Pelodiscus sinensis: one gene and its partners. The protein of the gene in region 2 purifies or fractionates together with the protein of the main gene of each other region. This does not show direct contact. Links are inferred from orthologs where the notes say so. Each region holds a gene or a part of one and is shown on either strand. Other genes may lie near its edges.

Region 1 (7,276 bases), on a different chromosome or scaffold from region 2:
CGGAGCAGCTTCCCACCTGCCATGGGTGGGGGGCTGCTCCAGCTCCGCAGGGCCTGCTGTGGGTAGGTGGTACTCTAGCCCAGCCAGAGCAGCCCCTGTTGGCAGAAGGCTTGACCAAGGCTCACTACAGGCAGGGAGGTCCAGCGCAGCAGGGGCAGTCCCAGTCTGCAGCAAGGGGGGGGCCATTCCAGCACGGGCAGTGATAGGTGGGCAGCTGCTCACCCCCGCAACTGCCCTCCCCATTAATCGGTTAACTGGTTAAACATTACTTTTAACCAGTTAACTAATTAAAAATTGGCTTTGACATCCCTAGTTTATTTCATTAAGACTTGTTTAAAGAAGATAAACTGACACTAAGTAACTAGCCAAAATATTTACATAGCTTTTTCCAGGTGGTAGCAAAGTTTCAAGGCCAGATGGATGCTCAATTCTCTGATAATACTGGCAGGATAGGAACCCAATATGCTCCCTTTTCAAAGACAGAGATTGGAGAATCCTGTTCCAAATTTCACTGTAAGTTCTTCCTGTTCTTACCTCTCCCTGACGTCTCGTTTTTGGAGAGGGACTGAAGAAGTTGTGCAAGACAGAGAGATCACTACTGAAGAGAGTGTTTTCTTTTTCCAGGATGTACTGTTTTAGCAATGGGGACACCTCATCACCGAACAGAGCTTGGTTATCCTGCCAGATCTGGCGCTTCACCTCCACGGCACATGCTTTGTATAAATCCTTATCTGCCATCACTAACTTCAGTTTCTTTTCAGGGACCTATGAACAACAGTGCAGAGTCAGGAAAAAGTTTAGCTAGGGGTTCACCGGTCAGATTGTTAAAATGGTAGGTAGTTAACTACTGGAAAGATCGACATCACAGCCTTGAACTGGCCAGTAACTTCTATAGCCAGTGCAATTAAAACATAAGGAAACAGCAGAGACCCTTCTTTTATGATCCTGCCCCTCCAAAAGGATCCTGATTTTAAAGTATTTAGCTTTCGAGATAAAGCATTACATTTTCCTTCAGTTAGTTTTACAACAAATATCTTCCCCTATTAAAAAAGGAAGAAAAGCATTCTACAGTGACGGTTCAAAGCTCTACAAAGTACAAAGCACTAGCAGAGGTTTTGAATAGGGATGAGAGTTTAATCAATTAACCCATAAACTTTTAAACTGATGTTTATCAGTTAATCTCAGCCAACTCCCAGGGAGTCCTCTTCAATGTGGCAAGGCAGCAAAACCTCCTGCCTGGTTACCATATTACATGATTTTTAACATCCCTAGTTTTGAAGCGATTATATTAAGGATACTTAGTGCCTTACATGAAGGGTTGTTTCCTTTTACGTGCCCTTTCCCAGAAATATTGCCCTTTACAAAAAAAAAATCTAGCTTTAAAATTTAAGCTATATAATTTACTAGGTCATCCTTACAATGTCCCACTTGCCGTTTAAATCAGTGATGAAAAAGCCCCCTACCACTGAGTTCAATCTATTTTTCAGAAGGATGAGGGAGGACAGGCACATTTTAAAAACAGAAAAACACGCTTCTCTCGCTAATTCATTTATAAAGTATGAAATGCTTTTTAAACTACATTAAAATTAACTGATATGAGAATCAAAGTGTAAGCCAAAATCTCTACCAGTGAATGATTAACTGAAGAGTTTGCAAATGTGCCACACAGCCCAGCTAACAGCAGAAAGTAAAAGGGACTGTTGTAACCAGGAGATATAAGGAGATTTTACCTTGGGAAGGTGTTTCATGACACACATCACCACAGGCTGTATAGATGGCATCTTGACCAAGGAAAAACATTTTTCCAGCAGATCCTCTAGCTTTTTGTATCTGGAAACATGCAAGCAAGAAAAGTTGCAAGGTAAAGTTTTCAAAACCCCTGAGTCACTTAAGGTCTTAAGTGCTTGAATTGCTTTTGAAAATGGGACTTAAGCACTTAAGTTTTTTTAAAAAACTTTACCTTCCATGATTTTGCAATTAATTTCTAATGATGAGTAATATGCAGCAACAAGATCAGTAACACACCTTTCCTCAACTTTTCCTTCTGAGGCAATGGCTGAAACTCTCTCTAGCAGTTTCTCCCTCAGCTCATCAAATACAGACTGATGAAATTCCAACCTAGGAGTGCCGTGGAGGTCCAAGAATGGCAGAGCAGACTGGAGAGAGGGCAGGAGGACTCCATTTTCTGTCTAGCAAAACAAACACCATAAGAGTCCTAAGTTTTGGATTAAACACAAATTCCTGGTTGGCAATAAAACAGAGTGCCCGCCAAGAGAAACAAGGCTTCCTTCTCACATTTCAGCCTGGGGTACGCTGCTAAAAACAAAACCTGTTTGCAAAACAGCTAAATCCTGACCGGTTTGGGGGGGGGGCTCCCTTCCTTTTTAATGGTGGTAGAGATGCAGCCCTTAGTCTGGTGCAGCTGGAACAAAAGGCAGGACCAGGCAGCGCTTTAAAGACTAACAAGATGGTTTATTAGGAGATGTACCAGGGCATCAGCTCGGTAACCCCCCCCCAGGACCCCCCTTCGCCAGAGCCATGGGGGGAGGGGGGACACGCCCCGCCCCAAGGAGGGAGTCGCTTGCGCGGCGCAGGACCAGCCTGGGTTAGGCCGCTTCCGGGGGGGGGGGGTGAAGCCCTTTGTAGGAGGGTCCCGCCGCGCGGGGGGGGGGGGGGCGGCTCCTCACGCGGAGCCTCGGGCCCCAGACGCGCCGATCCCAGCGGGGTCTCCCTGCGAGGGGGGGCGGCCAGTGGGGGGGGCACTCCCATGAGCCCCCCCAGTCCCCGCGCATGCGCCCTGCGCGGTCCTCGAGGCGCCGGCCTCGGGCCCCCGGGCCGCACCTGGAACTGCTCGATGGCCTTGAGCGGTTCGGTGCAGTTGGTCAGCGTCTCCTTCAGGTCCTCGCCGTTGGCCACCCCCAGCTCCTGCAGCCCCGCGAACATGGCGGCGGGGCGGGTCCGTCGCCGGCCCCGGCCCCCCGGACCCCGCGGCCCCGGCACGCAGGTTCCGGCTCGGCGGGCGGAGCCGGGCTGCGAGCGCCACAGCGACCCCTGCGGCCCGCGGCCGGCGTGGCGGCCTCCCCCCCACCGCCCCCGCCTGCGGCCGGCCCCCTAGAGACACCCCGCGGGAATGCCGCCTCCCCGCTGCGTCCCCCACCCCGTGTGCTGCCTCCCCCCCCACAGAGATAGGCTTGGCAGACGGGGTTACAAAAAATACCCAACACCCCCCCCCCAAAAAAAAAACACCGGGAAAAAATTCTGTTGGGGGGGGGGGGGGAAAGGGGAGACCAAAGTAGTGGAGAAAAAAAAGGGCGCTGCGCCTTTAAGTGGCTCTGGTCTCAGTGCCCCCCATCCCAGTGCACTCACCCCTCCCCCAGAGCCAGGTGCCCCAGTGCCCCCCCATCCCAGTGCACTCACCCCTCCCCCAGAGCCAGGTGCCCCAGTGCCCCCCCATCCCAGTGCACTCACCCCTCCCCCAGAGCCAGGTGCCCCAGTGCCCCCCCCCATCCCAATGCACTCATCCCTCCCCCAGAGCCAGGTGCCCCAGTGCCCCCCATCCCAATGCACTCACCCCTCCCCCAGAGCCAGGTGCCCCAGTGCCCCCCCCATCCCAATGCACTCACCCCTCCCCCAGAGCCAGGCGCCCCAGTGTCCCCCCATCCCAGTGCACTCACCCCTCCCCCAGAGCCAGGTGCCCCAGTGCCCCCCCATCCCAGTGCACTCACCCCTCCCCCAGAGCCAGGTGCCCCAGTGCCCCCCCATCCCAGTGCACTCACCCCTCCCCCAGAGCCAGGTGCCCCAGTGCCCCCCCCATCCCAATGCACTCATCCCTCCCCCAGAGCCAGGTGCCCCAGTGCCCCCCCATCCCAATGCACTCACCCCTCCCCCAGAGCCAGGTGCCCCAGTGCCCCCCCATCCCAATGCACTCACCCCTCCCCCAGAGCCAGGCGCCCCAGTGTCCCCCCATCCCAGTGCACTCACCCCTCCCCCAGAGCCAGGCGCCCCAGTGTCCCCCCATCCCAGTGCACTCACCCCTCCCCCAGAACCAGGCGCCCTAGTGCCCCCCCATCCCAATGCACTCACCCTTCCCCAGAGCCAGGCGCCCTAGTGCCCCCCCATCCCAATGCACTCACCCTTCCCCCAGAACCAGGCGCCCTAGTGCCCCCCCATCCCAATGCACTCATCCCTCCCCCAGAACCAGGCGCCCTAGTGCCCCCCCATCCCAATGCACTCACCCTTCCCCCAGAGCCAGGCCCCTCACAGGCTATGTCTACACTTGTGGCTTCTTGTGCGAGTAATATGCAAATGAGGCTAAGCATACCTAATGAGCCTAATTTCGTTACACCTATTACTTTTCAGGAAGAATGGCATTGCGCAAGAGGGGTTTTTTTGCGCAAGAAGGGGCAGTGTAGATGCTCCTTCTTGCGCAAGATCTTCTTCTGAAAAAAATGGTGGCTCACTAGGTATGCAAATGAGGCTCAGCAATATTCCACGCTTAGCCTCATTTGCATATTGCTCGCACAAGAAGCCGCGAGTGTAGACATAGCCCCAGTGTCCCCCATCCTAGTGCACTCACCCCTCCCCCTGAGCCAGGCATCCCCAGCACCAGGAGCGCTCCGCCCCAATCAAATCACACACCCCCACCTCCTCTCCTGCCGCAGAGCCAGGCACCCGAGGAACAGGATGGCCGGGTAAGGAAATCTTACTCTTAAAGTCACCGCTCCTGCCGCCCAGCCTCGCTGCCTGGGTTCCCCGTGTGTAGAGGGAGGCATCACGTGGCCAGCTCCCGGGTCTCTGCTCAAAGCGTCACATGAGCTAGAGCAGCATATGCTTGCTCCCACCCCAGCCCAGTGCCCTCCTAGCATGGCGCCTGGGGGCAAGTGTCCCCTTCTGCCCCCCTTCACTACGCCTCTGCCGCACTCCTCACTTCCCTACCCCTGCCAGATGTGGCAGGGGAAAATTGTCCCCACTGGGCTTCCGTCCAAGGGAAATAGGAAATACTGGACATTTCACATGTCTGGTATTTTCTGGTTTTTTTTTTACTGGACGGGGGACCCGAATAATGAACAATCTGGGTGAAAACCAGATACCTACCTAGAGACCTACGAGAATGCCATTTTCTTGTTCCCTATAGAACTTCTGGGGATGCTGCCTCCTTCCTTATATCCTCCCAAGTATAAGAGCATAAGAATGGCCAGACTGGGTCAGACCAAAGGTTCAATCAGCCCAGTATCCTGTCTGCCAACAGTGGCCAATGCCAGGTGCCCCACAGGGAGTGAATCGAACAGGTAATGATCAAGCGATCTCTCTCCTGCCATCCATCTCCACCCTCTGATAAACAGAGACTGGGGACACCGTTCCTACCCATCCTGGCTAGTAGCCATTAATGTTTATCACGTTACCGGAGTTTAAGGGAAACAGCCAGGTCACTGCTGCGCCCATGGGGGGGGGGGTTTGTCCCAAAAGTTGATAGAAAGGGGGCCATGTGAAGTGTCAAACAAAAGCTTATTGTCTACGGATTCCGTACATGCTCTTCGTATACCTGTATAATGTCTGTGTGTGTTATAAGTATGTACTCTATGTTGATGCTGAAAGATTCTCTGTCTGAGGCAGAGCAATGGGCCGGGAATGTTTGCCCATGGACATGCTAATGAGCAAAGCTCCAGGGAACAATGGACCGCTGGAGGCCAAAGACACAGCTGGCCACTGGCCATGTGACTCTCCAGCTTAGAAGAAGCCAGGAGGGGATATAAATATGCCAGGTGGCCGACTCCATCGGGGTGCTCAGCTCAGCTCTTCATCTCAGAGGCAAGAGTGCAGGGATCAAGGAGCCAGAAAGAACTGTACAAAAACCTGTAGGGGAACACTTCAATCTCCCTGGACACACAATTGCAGATCTAAAGGTAGCCATCCTGCAGCAAAAAAACTTCAGGACCAGACTTCAAAGAGAAACTGCTGAGCTACAGTTCATCTTCAAGTTTGACACAATCAACTCAGGATTAAACAAAGACTGTGAATGGCTCGCTAACTACAAAAGCAGCTTCTCCTTTCTTGGAATTCACACCTCCAGATCAGCAACTAGAAGTGGGCCTCATCCTCCCTGATTGGATCCACCTCGTCATCTCCAGCCTGATTCTGGCCTGCATATTTATACCTGCCTCTGGAAATTTCCACTACATGCATCTGACGAAGTGGGTCTTTGTCCACGAAAGCTTATGCTCCAACACTTCAGTTAGTCTATAAGGTGCCACAGGACTCCTCGCCGCTTTTGCAGATTCAGACTAACACGGCTCCCCCTCTGATACTTGTCCCCTCTCCATGTGCTGCTTGAGCCGCAGGGCTGTCTCCCACTTTGCGTGACTTTGTTGCTTTGGCATCCCTGTCACATATTTCCACATTTGCTGAACTGCGGGGAGGTTGCAGGCACTGGCCTCCTGGCCCCTAGAATTCTCCAGTCTCCCAGGCAGTGAGTTATATGGGCCCCAGAGGTGCTCTAACACCATGAATACTCATGGTCCGGGGCATGGCTCTGTCAATGTTAACTGTAACGCATCCTGAGTGTGACTTAATCACCCAATGATCCTTACTCCACTTGAATGACAAGCCGTTTGTTACCTTAATTACCCTACCTGTGTTTATAAACAAACTCCCTGCTGCACAGGCTGTGCTGTTCCCAGCTTCGGAATTCATCACAGGCCGAGTTTGAGGAGGGCTAGCTACACTTAACATTTAACATTCTTTAAACTTTTTTAACCTAAAACCAAAACCACCTGTTTTAAAAAAATAAATATAAAAAAAGGATAAACTCTACATGTAAAAAGAGGATGCAGGCAGAAGCCCATCAATGCTAACACCTGTGTCTTCCTAATAACTGGACTTCCCTCCCCTGAAGAGGTCTCAGTGTGATAGGTTATTGCATCACCTGGAAGGAAGGTCCCAACTGTGGATAATTTTCTTCTGCTCCATTTGGACGTTCTCCTCCCCGCAAAAACGCAGAGGCTGGCACAGCTGTCCTGATTGGTCCTATGGACAGGGCGGCTCTGAGGAGATGACTATAGCTGGACTGCTTGGAAATAGTGAATTAATTAAATTTAACACGCCTGTGGTTAGAAAAATACCACAGTAGCTCAACACCATGGCATTTAATTTCATAAAGGGGAACTACACACAATGAAGAGGTTAGTTAAACAGAAATTGAAAGGTACAGTGTCAAAAGTGAAATCCCCGTAAGTTTTCAAACTTTTCAGACACCCTAATAGAGGCTCAGGTTAAATGT
Region 2 (7,508 bases):
TGGAGGCGCAGACACCTTTGGAAAATTCAGACAATCTGCGGACTACAGATTGAAAACCACTGCCCTCTATAATTTGTTTCTCTGGCCTAGTTCCAAGCACAAGTACTGCTGGCCCAGAGACATAATCCCCAAAAAGGCAGTCAAAAGCACTAGCTGTTGTACATGGTGAAACTCATCAGCCTAAATACGAAAAATAATCTGTCCTGTTCCTCTCTCCCCTCTCTGTTTCAGACAAGAAGGCAACGGTGGAACCTTTTGAAAAAGAGCACAGCACTCACAGGAGCGCCACACTTGAGTCACAGGAATAACAATGCCTAGTCCTTAGGTAACACTTTAATCAAAACACTATACAAAGGAGGACAGTACCAATATACTCATTTTACAGATGGGCAAAGCGAGGTGAGAGGCACACTCCGCCAAGGTCACCCATCAGGCCAGAAGTGCCCAGGCCCTATGAACGCACAGCTAGCACTCTCTCCTCTAAGACACATGGGGGGCAGGCTATCCCACCATGGGCTGGCCGCTCAGGGGTCGGCAGCTATGTATCCTACGGGCAGCGGTAAAAGTAACAACGTTTCTTACAGGTACTGTCTTACCACAGCCCGGGACCCTGCCAGCTCTTTCAATAGTGCCCTGTTGGCTTTTGCCCCAGCTGCGCGCCAGGGTGCCTGAGGGCCCCCTGCCAGGGGAGGTGGAGAAGGGGCACCAGGCACAGTATAGGTAACTGGCTGGGGGGCGAGTAGGTACCGAACGTAACCCCCAGGGGGCAAAAGCGGCTGCGGGTGCAGTGCTGAGCACCCCTCTGCCACCAGGCGGGCAGGACTGAGTGCAGCGCCCCCAAGGAGCACCCGGGGGGGGGGGCAATACTGACACGCCCCCCCCCCCGCTCCGCGCGGGTGTGTCCGGCGGGCCGTTACCGATACCCTCCCCCACCCGGAGGGTGTGTCCGGCGGGCCGTTACCGATACCCTCCCCCACCCGGGGGTGTGTCCGGCAGGCCGTTACCGATACCCTCCCCCACCGGGGGGGGTGTCCGGCGGGCCGTTACCGATACCCTCCCCCACCGGGGGGGGGGTGTCCGGCGGGCCGTTACCGATACCCTCCCCCACCGGGGGGGGGGTGTCCGGCGGGCCGTTACCGATACCCTCCCCCACCCGGGGGGGGGGGTGTCCGGCGGGCCGTTACCGATACCCTCCCCCACCCGGGGGGGGGTGTCCGGCGGGCCGTTACCGATACCCTCCCCCACCGGGGGGGGGGTGTCCGGCGGGCCGTTACCGATACCTTCCCCCACCGGGGGGGGGGTGTCCGGCGGGCCGTTACCGATACCCTCCCCCACCGGGGGGGGGGTGTCCGGCGGGCCGTTACCGATACCCTCCCCCACCGGGGGGGGGGGGGTGTCCGGCGGGCCGTTACCGATACCCTCCCCCACCCGGGGGGTGTGTCCGGCGGGCCGTTACCGATACCCTCCCCCACCCGGGGGGTGTGTCCGGCGGGCCGTTACCGATACCCTCCCCCACCCGGGGGTGTGTCCGGCGGGCCGTTACCGATACCCTCCCCCACCCGGGGGTGTGTCCGGCGGGCCGTTACCGATACCCTCCCCCACCCGGGGGGTGTGTCCGGCGGGCCGTTACCGATACCCTCCCCCACCCGGGGGGGGTGTCCGGCGGGCCGTTACCGATACCCTCCCCCACCCGGGGGGGGGGGGTGTCCGGCGGGCCGTTACCGATACCCTCCCCCACCGGGGGGGGGGGGGTGTCCGGCGGGCCGTTACCGATACCCTCCCCCACCGGGGGGGGGGGGGTGTCCGGCGGGCCGTTACCGATACCCTCCCCCACCGGGGGGGGGGGTGTCCGGCGGGCCGTTACCGATACCCTCCCCCACCGGGGGGGGGGGGTGTCCGGCGGGCCGTTACCGATACCCTCCCCCACCGGGGGGGGGGTGTCCGGCGGGCCGTTACCGATACCCTCCCCCACCGGGGGGGGGGGGTGTGTGTCCGGCGGGCCGTTACCGATACCCTCCCCCACCGGGGGGTGTGTCCGGCGGGCCGTTACCGATACCCTCCCCCACCCGGGGGTGTGTCCGGCGGGCCGTTACCGATACCCTCCCCCACCCGGGGGTGTGTCCGGCGGGCCGTTACCGATACCCTCCCCCAGCCGGGGGGTGTGTCCGGCGGGCCGTTACCGATACCCTCCCCCAGCCGGGGGGTGTGTCCGGCGGGCCGTTACCGATACCTTCCCCCACCGGGGGTGTGTCCGGCGGGCCGTTACCGATACCCTCCCCCACCCGGGGGGGTGTGTCCGGCGGGCCGTTACCGATACCTTCCCCCACCGGGGGTGTGTCCGGCGGGCCGTTACCGATACCCTCCCCCACCCGGGGGTGTGTCCGGCGGGCGGCTCCTCCGACGCCATTTAACGGGGAGGGGGCGGGTACCGCCGCCGCCACCACACGGGGGCGTTTGCCGCCCTCACCCAGCCGCCGCTTGCTGGGGCAACTGGCCCCGGGCACCTCACTCGCTCTCGCAGCCCTACCCTGCCCCCCCCCCCCCCCCAGCCCGCGGCAGGACTCGCGCGCTGGAGCCGCTCCCGCCTCGCCCGGTGCCCGCGCAGCCCCTGCCCGGCTCTCACCTCATCCACCGCCCGGCGGGGCAGGTGCAGCATCCCCAGCAGCAGTTTGAGCTTGACGGCCGAGGAGAGGCCGTGGAAGCAGAGGCGGATGTTGTCGATCACCGAGGCCGTGAGCAGCGAGGCGATGCTCGGCGGCGCCCACAGCTCGTCCGTGGAGCCCAGCTTGTTGTGCAGCCACAGGCCAGTGTCGCTCTCCCGCATCGACGCCATCTTGGGAGCGGGGCGAAAAAAGGGGGGATTTTTAGCAGGCATTTTATGAAGACACCTATACGAAGGGAGGGCGAGGACCCCTGTGGGCCGCCGTTTCGCTCGTAACCCAAAATGGCGGCTCCCTCGCGGAGAGGCTTCGCCATGGGGCGCAGGGAGTTCCGTAATCTAAAATGGCGGCGCCCTGTGGGAGAGGAACAGCGAGCTCGGGAGCAACGCCTTCCGTAGTGCGAAATGGAGCCTCCCTTCCGTACTGCAACATGGCGTTCCCCATGTCGCGGGAAGCCTCGCAGGTTGGCTTCCCCGCCCTCTGCTGGCGTCCCCCAGCGCTTCTCCAAGGGACGGGGCTGCAGCCTGCGCCCGTTCCCTCAGCCCTTCTCCCTCCCCACACTGTCACCTCGCCCCCGCCCCTCTGCTCCGTCCTCCCGCTTCCAGCCCCACACCTGCCTCCCCGCTGCACAGCTGGTCTGCGCGCGCCCCTGCTCCGCAGCCTGGCTAGGCTGTGCCCGCTGGACGGCTCCGACCCTTTCTGACTCGGTGGCGGCTTGGTAGAGCTGGCCGGAAAAAATAGAAATTTGTATTCAAAACAACTGATCCGACTCCAGCACGGGACTCTTATCTGTACCCACCGCTGGCAGCTGGGCAACTCTCTTCTCCTTTGGTCCTCTGTTTCCCCCCCTCTCATCTTCCTTTCCAAACAACACACCCAGCCTGCTACCCAATTGACAGGTGATGAAATCTACTTGCAATGCTCTGCTTTGACATAAGCGAAGTTGAAGCCCTTTTTCATCATCTCCCCAAAGATTTTAGTAGGGGGTGTCTGGTAAGAGGAGGAAGTAATCTCCGTGCATAAACAGGAGAAACTGGGAAACAGGCCCTTTTCATACAAGTGTACACACACAAGCCTAACTTCCTGTGCAACAAAGGGGTCTCAGCTTCTTGCACCTGTGTAATGATAAGCACATGCTTAGATTAAGGACCTTTATAAATACAGCTTCAAATGCATATTTTAGTATATCAATAAACAAAATGGGGGAACCTTTCTGGGGATGCATAGAGACAGAATGAACTTGGTAAACTTGGCATGCTTAAGGCTTTTTTTGTTTTTGTTTTTGTTTTAAACATGCTCATTCTTTACTACCAGATAGTTGCAGAGTTCACAGTCTGGCTTTGCTGTGGGAACTGAGCTGATAGCACTTTTTGCGGAAAAGCGTTCGTGCCAATCTAGACGCGCTTTTGTGCAAAAAAAAGCCCCAATCACCATTTTTGCGATCGGGGCCTTTTGCGCAAAACAAATCTGAGCTGTCTACACTGGCCCTTTTGCGCAAAAGGACTTTTGCCCGAACAGGAGCAGCATAGTATTTCCACAGGAAGCACTGATTTCAAACAGTAGGAAGTCAGTGCTCTTGTGGAAATTCAAGCGGCCAGTGTAGACAGCTGGCAAGTTTTTCCAGTCTAGACGCAGCCATAGAATAATCAATACTTATCATATGCATATGACATATCTATCTATCTATCACTCATGCACACACACACACAAGCACACTCCGTCTTGCTGTTGTTACCAAGTAGTTGCTCCCCTTAACTTCACTGGCCAGGTGAGTTAGATGGGGGAGGGGTGAAGCCGGGCTTCCACCCCCTCTTCAACTGCTGTAGCTGTCTGGAGGTGCTTGGCTCTCAAGTCTTACTCATTCTCACCTCATTCATTCAACAGGGCAATTGATTACAGAGTGGGGGGAAGATCTTATTCTACTCCTAGCAAAAGACATTTTTACCACTTTAACTATATACTCAGTTTTCTACAAGTTTTCTATATAGGGTTCTAATACAAAGTTAAAAGGTTATATGGATTCAGGTTCTAATACAAAATTACAAGGTTATATGGAGAGGCACAATGCCAAGTCATATGAAATAATACATAGATTTATCTACATTGTTGATATTAGTAAAATGCAATATTTACCTGATTTCCACCCATATGACAGTACTTTTAATGAGCAATGACTGTCCAGGAATGTAACTACTAAAACTCATGTCAACAGAGCATGAAGGTGCCAGAGTCTTTCAGAGAAAAGGTACCCAGAATTTAACATGGGCAAAACAACTCATTTTTTTGGAAATGGTTGATCTGTTTTGGCTGGAGAGGGAGAGAGAAAGCAAGATTATACCACCTCCCTCCAGGATCTGAACTTCTACAAACCCAATCACATATCTTATGGCTGCTGTGGGTTATCCTTTGGCAGAGCTTCCTAATTAAGAGTACGGTAGTGTTTTTAGCTATCAAGAAGGCAGCATAAGAGTTTCTCCTTTCATTCAAGTAAAATTAACCCTCATCCCCTTTCTTGTTTATTTTTTACAGTGAAGGATCAGGCATTTAAGAAGGGAGATTACAAGACCTGTCCTGAAACTCAGCTATGGAAATCAGGAAGAAATCAGGAAATCATCACCTTTTGCCTGAGAACAGAGCCAAACACAAAGAGGTTATTTGGTGGCAGGAGATGTCACTTCTAACTTTTTCTCTAAGACTTAGTCTACACTGCAGGGTTTTTGTGCAAAAAGCTTTTTGCAGAAGAGATCTTCCATAAAAACTTCTTATGCAAAAGCACGTCCACACCCCAAAAGCTCATCGCAAAAGCAATGTGCTTTTGCACAGAAGAGTGTCGACACTGCATGGACGCTCTTGCGCAAGAAAGTTCTGATGGCCATTCACAGAATTCTTCTGATCATTGTACAGGTCAAAAACTTGTCTCTCTCACCAACAGAAGTTGGTTCAATAAAAGAGATTACCTACCTTCTGTTGCTCATAGAATCATAGAGCTGGAAGAGACCTCAGGAGGTCATCAAGTCAAGCCCCCTGCTCAAGGCGGGACCAATCCCAACTAAATCAACCCAGCCAGGGTTTTATCAAGCCGAGACTTAAAATCCTCTCAGGGTGGAGATTCCACCACCTCCCTAGGTAACCCATTACAGTGCTTCACCACCCTCCGAGTGAAATAGTTTTTCCTAATATCCAACCTAGACCCTTCCCACTGTAACTTGAGACCATTGCTCCTTGTTCTGCCACCTGTCTCTGCTGAGAACAGCCTTTCTCCATCCTCTTTGGAACCTCCCTTCAGGAAATTCCAAAGGGGGGGAGGGATAGCTCAGTGGTTTGAGCATTGGTCTGCTAAACCCAGGGTTGTGAGTTCAATCCTTGTGGAGGCCATTTTAGGGATTTGGGGCAAAAGTTTGTCAGGGATGGTACTTGGTCCTGCTGTGAAGGCAAGGGGCTGGACTCAATGACCTTCAAGGTCCCTTCCAGTTCTAGGAGATAGGCAATCTCCATTAATTTAAAAATTTATTTTATTTATAAGTTGAAGGCTGTTATCAAATCCCCCCTCACTCTTCTCTCCTGCAGACTAAACAAACCCAAATCCCTCAGTTTCTCCTCATAGGTCATGTGCTTCAGCCCCCTAATCATTTTGATTGCCCTCTGCTGGACCCTCTCCAATGCATCCACATCCTTTCTATAGTGGGGGACCCAGAACTGGACACACTACTCCAGATGTGGCCTCACCAGAGCTGAATAAAGGGGAATAATCACTTCTCTGGATCTGCTGGTAATGCTCCTCCTAATGCACCCTAATATGCTATTAGCCCTCTTGGCTACAAGGGCACACCATTGACTCATATCCAGCTTCTCATCCACTGTAATCCCCAAGTCCTTTTCTGCAGAACTGCTACTTAGCCATTTGGTCCCCAGCTTGTAACAATGCTTGGGATTCTTCTGTCCCAAGTGCAGGACTCTACACTTGTCCTTGATGAACCTCATTAGATTTCTTTTGGCTCAATCCTCTAATCTGTCCAGGTCATTCTGGACCCTACTCCTGCCCTCCAGCATATCTACCTCTCCCCCTAGCTTAGTGTCATCTGCGAACTTACTGAGGGTGCAATCTATCCCCTCATCCAGAGAATGCTCATATCCTGGGACAAACACAGTTATAACAACACTGCACACAACATGTTTTGAAATTTCTTAAGTTTGTAAAACAACAAAGTGGAAAAAAATCCATTATGTGGAAACTTTTAGACACTAGTATGAGTCATCAGCAAAGTTGGAACCTTTACCTCTATAGCACAAGACCTCTGACATTTCCGCTAACTAGTAGTGGTTGTAAGTTATCATTCTGTAGGCTGACTGGCCACTGGATGAGTCTGAGACACACAATTTGCCAGTGGGTTTTACAGATGTTTGCTTATAGCAGAGGAATAGCAGGCTTCAGGTATGAGAAATATTGGTTTGGAAGGGGCCACAATAGATCAACTAGTTCAGTCCTTTGCACTAAATTAGAAGTAAGTATTATCTAGACCATCCCTGACAGATGTTTTTGTGACATGTTCTAAAAACCTTAAATGACAGAGATTCCACAATGTCTCCAGGTAATTTGTTCTAATGCTTAACTATCCACATAGTAAGGGTTGGTTTTTTTTTGTTTGTTTGTTTAATTTAAATCTCTGAAGTGTAAGACCATTACTACTTATCCTTTATGCAATGGTTAAGGAGAACAGTTTATCACATTATTATGTACCTCTCTAGTTGTCTCTTCCGCAGACTAAACAAACCCAATTTTTTCAATCTTTCCAGATAAAGACCTAAAAATTATGACCTAATCATTTTCGTTGCTCTCCTCTGGACTTT
Region 3 (6,932 bases), on a different chromosome or scaffold from region 2:
GCCCCACAGGGCCCATCTCGCCCCGCACACCCCTCCCCCTGTCCCACACACCCCTCCCCCCGCCCCACAGGGCCCATCTCGCCCCGAGTATCCCCCCCCGCCCCACAGGGCCCATCTTGCCCCGCAATCTTGCCCCGCATACCCCTCCCCCTGCCCCACACACCCCTCCCCCTGCCCCACACGCCCCTCCCCCTGCCCCACAGGGCCCATCTCACCCAGCACCCCCCCCCCCAGGTGGGGCGACAGGCTCCGACCTTCTTCTTCAGCTTGGCAAACTTCTTCTGCAAGGCCTCCTCCTGTTCGGTGAGGCCGGGGGGCAGGACGAGCATGGTGGGGCGCTCGTGGGGGGGAGGCTGCACTGGCACCCGGGGGCTGCGGGAGGAAGCAGACACAGGGGTGAGCGGGGGGGGGGTGGAGCCTCCCCCTGCACTACGGATGGTCGATGTTGGTTCACTGACTAGCCGAGTGATCGCGGATTCTGAGCCGTTACTCGACTGGTCTGGAGTCCCTGGGGGTGGAGGCAGCGCTGCCGGGGAGCCAGGGCGGCCCTCCCGGGTCCAGACCAGCAACGCCTGCAGCGCCCGGCCTTGGCCAAGCACGGCTCTAACACCCCCCCTGGGTCTGGTTGGAGCCTGGGCGCACACGTCGGTACGCAGGCCGGGGGGGGAGTCAGCAGGGCTGCCCAACGCTGCGGAACGTGGACAGGCCGGCGAGACCAGGCCAGAGAGCAGGAACAGCCTGGTCCTAGGACGTCCCACTGTGATAAGAGACAGTCCAGACGCGCTGGCGCATACCGGGCCATTGCAAATGGACCCTGGATATCGGCATACGAGGGATCTTCCGGAAACGGTAGCTGATGGGTAGACAGGCGTAGGCCGACCAAGTCTCGCTTGGCTGTCAGTTGGGTTTAGGAAGAACAATCGCGGGGGGGGGGCCTGTCTGCTCTGTGACCCGGGGTCCCCCTGCGCTGTGAGGTGCGATTCCCAGACTCACCCAGACACGGGTCCCAGCCCGTCCCAGAGGGAGGGGGAGACGGGAGGGCAGGTTCTGGGAGCAAGGCGGCTTCTGGCTGGGAAACATGAGGGGAACAGACTAAGCTGAGGGGGCGATGGACCCCTAACCCTAGGGGTCGGAGGTATCCTGGCCCTGACTCCTGTAGCCACATCGCGTCTGTGCTGGGCTGTATCCCGGAGAAGCAATAACCCCCCTGTTCTACCGGCTGGGGAGTCTGTTCTGGCTGCTACGGGGGTGCAGGATCGGGGACGGGGGGTCCCTGACACACTGGAACAAGGAACGGACCCTTCACACCCCTTCAGTGCCGACGTGCAGGCATCCAAGCCACCACGACCCCCGGCCTGGCACTGTCGGGAGCGCACCGGTGACATGTAAGTGACCTAGGCGCAATGAGGGTATTAGAATCGGCTAGGACTGGCGTGTGCACTTCGCGCTGTGCGAATTGCTTTCAATTTTAAGCCCTGGGCTATGTCTACATTCGCGGCAAGAGGGTTTTCTTGCCCAAGAAGGGGCAGTGTAGATGCTCCTCCTGGCGCAAGAGCCTCTTCTGAAAAAAGTGGGGGCTCATTAGGTATGCAAATGAGGCTCGGCGATATTCCACGCTTCGCCTCATTTGCATATTACTCCCGCAAGAAGCCGCGAGTGTAGCCATAGCTCCAGTGTTTTCAATTGTCCAGCGATTGTTGCTAAGGCTTGTCACACTCAAACAACTGCGGGAACGTCTCTCTGGGGGGTTCCGCTTTCCCTGGGATCTAAAAGCAAAGCACACGACACGGCCCCACTCCCGAGGAGCCCCCGCCCCGCCGTGCCGCTGCCGCGGTGTCCGAGGCAGCAGCGCCGGGAGCCGGTCTGCGAGGGGAGCCTGTTTCAAAGCCAGCCCCCCTGCGGACCAGCCGCCTGCCTGATACAGAGGCAGCAGCGCAGGGGGGCAGCAGCCCGTCTGGGGTCGGGGGGGTCTGAGCTCCCGGAGCCGGCGTCAGCCAGACCTGAGCCAGGCTCCCTGCCCGCCCGGCTCCTAATGCACTTGAACGGCAGAGCCGCAGCAGGGCCAGGCCCCGGATCCGGCGCAAGCCAGACCTGAGCCAGGCTCCCTGCCCGCCCGGCTCCTAATGCACTTGAACGGCAGAGCCGCAGCAGGGCCAGGCCCCGGATCCGGCGCAAGCCAGGACCCAGCTGGGCTGCTGGCCAGTCTGCGCGCACATTTACTGGGGGGGCGGCGAGTCGGCTGTAGCATTCACCGACACGTTTTTGCATATCGATTAATCGGTTACTCAATTCCACGATTACCTCCCGACCCCGGGCGTTACCCACAATGTCCTGGGGTAGCTGCAACCTGCTCCCGCCCCGCCCCCACCCTAAGCCACGCCCCCTGCCCTAGATCCAGGCTCCGCCCCCTGCTCCCACCCCTGCTGCAGGCCCCGCCCCCAGCCCCATACACGTGCACTGCCCCAAGCTCCGCCCTTGCTCCCGCCCCCTGCTGCAGGCCCCGCCCCCAGCCCCATACACGTGCACTGCCCCAAGCTCCGCCCCTGCTCCCGCCCCCTGCTGCAGGCCCCGCCCCCTGCTGCAGGCCCCGCCCCCTCCCTGACCCAAGCTCCTCCCCTGCCTCCGCCACAGGCCCTGCCCCCAGCCCCGCCCCCTAGTCTTACACTGCCCCCAAGCTCCGCCCCCTCCCTGCCCCAAGCCCCGCCCCCTGCTCCCGCCCCAGGCCCCACCAACTCCCCCCCCACCTCCGCAGCCCCGCTCCCATGATGCACCGCGGCAGGCGGCCAGGGAGAGGGGCTGTTGGGGGGGGGGGCGCGCGCGCAGGTTGCCCCCCCCGCGGACTGACCCTCTCCGCTCCCCGTCCGCGGCGGCTCTAGCGTGGCGCGGCTCTCCCCGCTCGCGCGCAGGCTCGGAGCACGCTCATTGGCGGAGCGGCGCCCTCATTTGCCTGCCTCGCGCCCGGCTCCTCTTATCCCTGGGGCGCGGCGCCGGCTGGCGTCACTTCCGCCCCGCAGCGCTCGCCCTGGTTCTCTCCCCGGCTTCCGCCCCGCAGGGCCATGCTGCGCCGGCCCCGCGCGGAGCCCTTCCGGGTCAGGGGGCGGCCCGCGGCTGCCGACATGGAGCGAATGAGTGAGGGGGGGCGCTGGGGGCAAGTGAGGGGGAGGGGCAGGAGGGGGGCAGGAGCGGGTAGTGGGGGGAGGGGCAGGGGTAGTGGGGGGAGGGGCAGGAGGGGGGCAGTGGGGGGGAGGGGCAGGAGGGGGTAGTGGGGGGGAGGGGCGCAGGGGCAGGAGGGGGGCAGGGGTAGGAGGGGGCAGGGGGAGGGGCAGGAGGGGGGCAGGGGCAGGAGGGGGTAGTGGGGGGAGGGGCAGGAGGGGGGCAGGGGCAGGAGGGGGTAGTGGGGGGAGGGGCGCAGGTGCAGGAGGGGGCAGGGGTAGTGGGGGGAGGGGCAGGAGGGGGCCGTGGCAGGCTCCAGCGGGATCTGCAGGGGGAGGGGTCTCTGCCTGTTGCAGAGTCCGACCCCCCCTTGTGCCCCCCCCCAGCGCTGCCCCCCCGGGGGCCCCTGGAGCTGCCCCTGTCCCTGCTGGAAGTCGGCTGCGCCGGGCGCTTCGAGCTCGTCACCCGGCCGGAGGGGCCCGATGGCGGCACCATCCCCCTCTGCACGGTGAGACCCCCCCCCGGCCGCCATCTCCTTCCCTCCCCTACCCCGCCACTGCCCCACGGGCCTTTCACACCTCCCCTCTCCCTCTCCAGCTGCCCCACGGGCTGCCCCCCTTCACCATGGACCTGGCCTCTGAGCTGGAGCGGCGCTTCCTGGCCAGCCCCGAATGGCTGCCCCTCCACCGCTTCGACAGGGCCCACAGGTGAGTCCTGGTGCCCACCCGCCTCCCCGAAAACCCCTGCGGGCACCAGCCCTTCGGCCGCGGAGAGGGGCGGGACATCGGGGTGCAGCGGGCGCTGACTCCGCCTCTGTGCCCCCCTCCAGGTGCTGGCCGCGGGAGAAGGACGTGTGGTCGCTGCTGGAGACAGACGCCACCCCTGTGCACGCCACTCTGCAGGCGGAGCGGGACCCCACCACGGGGCAGATCCTGGCCTTCCGAGAGGTGAGCCCATCCAGGCACGGGGGTCCTGTCCTGGCAGCCACACTGCGCCCAAAACGTGCTGGCCTGGACGCCTGGGTCCCATGCCTCCCTCCCTAGGCTGGGGGGGGCCTTTCGGCACATGAGAGATGCTGGCCTGGGGGACTGATTTAAAAAACTAAACGCACCTTTAATCCTTCTGTTACCCAACAGCCGTGTTTATAACAAAGAATACAAAATGTACAATGCTCTCCTAATTTCGTAAGCACGAGCGATACCAACAAAAGAGGGGGTCTCGCTCAATTCTCCCACTACAAGTCTTGTGCAACAGCTTCAGTTGTGCTCCCAAATATAGACCCATGTACGCAAGCTAACTGCATTTAAAAAAAAAACCCTACAAGAAAGTCCACTCAGTCCTATTTCCTGTTCGGCCAATTGCTCAGACTCACGGGTTGGCCGCAGTGGGTGTGAGGATGCTGCCTGTTTCTTATTCCCACGGCCACCTGAGTGTGAGAGCCGGCCTGTGCCGCTGTGGCCGGCGTCCCCGAGTATTTACGTGCCGGATGCGCTAAAGTTTCACACGCCCCTTCGTGCTGCGCCCGCCCTGCCAGCGCACACGTCTCCTTGGCGTTAAGGGGTTCTGCCCGATTCCCATCCAAAGCAGCGCGGGTGGACGCGGGTTCCTTTCCGTCTGCTCAGCGGAAGGCGGATTCTCTTTTTCGGTGCTTCGGGTTGTGTGGTTCCTCCCTCGGGGCGTTGATCCTTTCAGGCTCCCGAGAGCCCACGTACGACCCCCCTCGTCACGCCCTGGGAGAGGAGGCTGAGTGCGGGGGCAGGAGACCAGCCCCCCTGAAGCGCAGAGTTCCAAGCGGCCTCGTGCCCTGGGGGTGGCGGGGTGAGCAGGTCGGGCGCGCGGGGGGTTGAGCAGCGCTGCCCTGCGAGTCCCCGGCCGGCGGGGCGGAGGCCTGAGCGGGGGGCGGCGTAAGGGGCGTTTCCGGGGCTTTGCGACGCTGCCCTGGCGCTGTCCGGGGGCCACGGTGAGTGAAGGCCCCGCTCCTCGCTCTCCGCCCCAGGCGCTGCTGGACAACATGGGGCTGTCGGCCAAGAACTCGCTCTCCCTCCAGCGGGCCCCGGGGCCCCCCGCCCAGGCCTTGCGGGGCAGCAGCACCAACTACCCCTTCTGGCCAGGTACGTCCCCCTCCTTCTCCCCCGCCCCCCCCCCCCCCATCGGTGCTGCTGGGACTCAGCCTCTCTCTGCTCCCCAGCGGGATGGACGAGCCCAGCTTGGAGCAGATCTGCGCCCAGGACCAGCTGGAGGAGGATGTGGACTTTGAGAAAGGTGTGAGGGGGCCGGGTGTCCTGCCTCTCCCCCGCCCCCATCCCCTCGGGCCTGGCGGGCTCTGGGTGCCCTTCAGTGCCCTGCCCTGGGGCCGGGTGGAGGCGGCACCCCTAGAGGGGCCAGACCCCCCCCCCCCCGCCCTGCCAGGTCCTGCCCTGGGGCCCGGTGGGAGGCGGCACCCCTAGAGGGGCCAGACCCCCCCCCCACCCTGCCAGGTCCTGCCCTGGGGCCGGGTGGGAGGCAGCACCCCTAGAGGGGCCAGACCTGGCGCCCCCTGGTGGAGACAGGCCCCTGCCCCCTCTCTCCCCCCCGCCCCCTCCCAACTTTGGCTGGTGTAACTCTGCCTGTTTTCCTTCCCCGCTGCCCAGACTTGCTGACGGTGCCCCCGGCTGGAAGAAGGGGGTGGACTTCAAGCCGCAAGGTACTGATCTGGGGGGCTGGTCTCTCCATGGGGGGCCGGGCAGACACTGGTGTCCTGGAGGGGGGCACCCCGCTGGCTGGGCTCGCTTGGAGGGACTCCCTCCTCCCGGCGCCCCCTAACCCCCCCCTTTTGCCCCCTAGCTGCGCCGCGCCAGAGCGCACCGGGCCTGCTGCCCCTGGCCGGGCTGCTGGGGACCCTGGACTCCTTCCAGCTGGGCGGCTCCAGCGACGAGGAGGAGGAGACGAAGAGGAAGACCAAGGGGAAGGAGGGAGCGACGCCCCCCGCCCCTGCCCCCGCCCCCCAGCGGGCAGACAGCCTGGAGGAGCTGGTGCTGAAGGTGGAGGCGGGACAGCTGGGGGGGTGGATGTTGGGGGACGGGGCTTGTTCTGGTGGGGGGGAGGGGAGGCTGTGGGCAGGGTGCAGAAAAGGGGGGGTTGGGCTGGGGGAGGGGGGTTTTGGGGGCAGGCCGAGGCAGGAACGCCCTGGGGGGCGGAGCCCCGTAACCAGCCCTTCTGCCCCCACAGGAGGTGACCCCCGGACCTCCCCCGCCCGCCCAGGCCGCGCCCCCCGAGCCGCCCAAGGAGCAGTGGGCGATTCCCGTCGACACCTCCTCGCCCGTGGACGACTTCTACAAACGCATCCCCGACCCGGCCTTCCGGGTGAGACCCTGCCTGGGCCGCGCTGGGCTGGGGCCCTGAGGGGGGCGGGGGCTGCCCTGGGGTGGGGGAGCCAGGGAGACGTGTCACGGGGTTGTGGGGCCCAGGGCCGGATGCTAGCCTCAGTTCCCTTGTGCCGTGGGGGTCGGCTGGGGAGCCTGGGGACGCGCCACGGGGAGAGGGGCGTCCCGCCTGACTCGGTTTCCCCGGCCCAGTGGCCGTTCGAGCCGGACGTGTTCCAGAAACAGGCCATCCTGCACCTGGAGCGGCGCGACTCGCTCTTCGTGGCCGCGCACCACCTCGGCCGGCAAGACGGTGGTGGCCGAATACGCCATCGCCCTGGCCCAGAAGCACATGACCAGGTGAGGGCCCCTCCCCCTGCTGGATCTAGCCCCTCCCCCCACTGGTCCCTGTTGTTAACCCTTCCTGCCCCCCCCCAG

Evidence for each region. The genes of interacting proteins can lie anywhere in the genome.
Region 1: the proteins of NELFA (region 2) and NELFB purify together in Homo sapiens (affinity purification with mass spectrometry; 8 studies listed by BioGRID and IntAct, counting the BioPlex papers as one, with this or other methods). This does not show direct contact. The link is inferred for Pelodiscus sinensis from reciprocal best matches to the Homo sapiens genes NELFA and NELFB.
Region 3: the proteins of NELFA (region 2) and negative elongation factor E-like purify together in Homo sapiens (affinity purification with mass spectrometry; 9 studies listed by BioGRID and IntAct, counting the BioPlex papers as one, with this or other methods). This does not show direct contact. The link is inferred for Pelodiscus sinensis from reciprocal best matches to the Homo sapiens genes NELFA and NELFE.

What each region holds. Positions count from the first base shown.
Region 1 is NC_134732.1:3,324,833-3,332,108, reverse strand, and holds the start of NELFB (negative elongation factor B), read right to left. Parts: upstream 3,005-7,276; 5' UTR 2,944-3,004; coding exon 2,842-2,943; intron 2,190-2,841; coding exon 2,026-2,189; intron 1,831-2,025; coding exon 1,731-1,830; intron 766-1,730; coding exon 535-765; intron 1-534. UniProt on the Homo sapiens protein: Essential component of the NELF complex, a complex that negatively regulates the elongation of transcription by RNA polymerase II.
Region 2 is NC_134715.1:118,486,298-118,493,805, reverse strand, and holds the start of NELFA (negative elongation factor A), read right to left. Parts: upstream 3,020-7,508; 5' UTR 2,876-3,019; coding exon 2,624-2,875; intron 1-2,623. UniProt on the Homo sapiens protein: Essential component of the NELF complex, a complex that negatively regulates the elongation of transcription by RNA polymerase II.
Region 3 is NW_027466016.1:20,607-27,538, reverse strand, and holds the start of negative elongation factor E-like, read right to left. Parts: upstream 3,005-6,932; 5' UTR 2,846-3,004; intron 373-2,845; 5' UTR 330-372; coding exon 255-329; intron 1-254. UniProt on the Homo sapiens protein: Essential component of the NELF complex, a complex that negatively regulates the elongation of transcription by RNA polymerase II.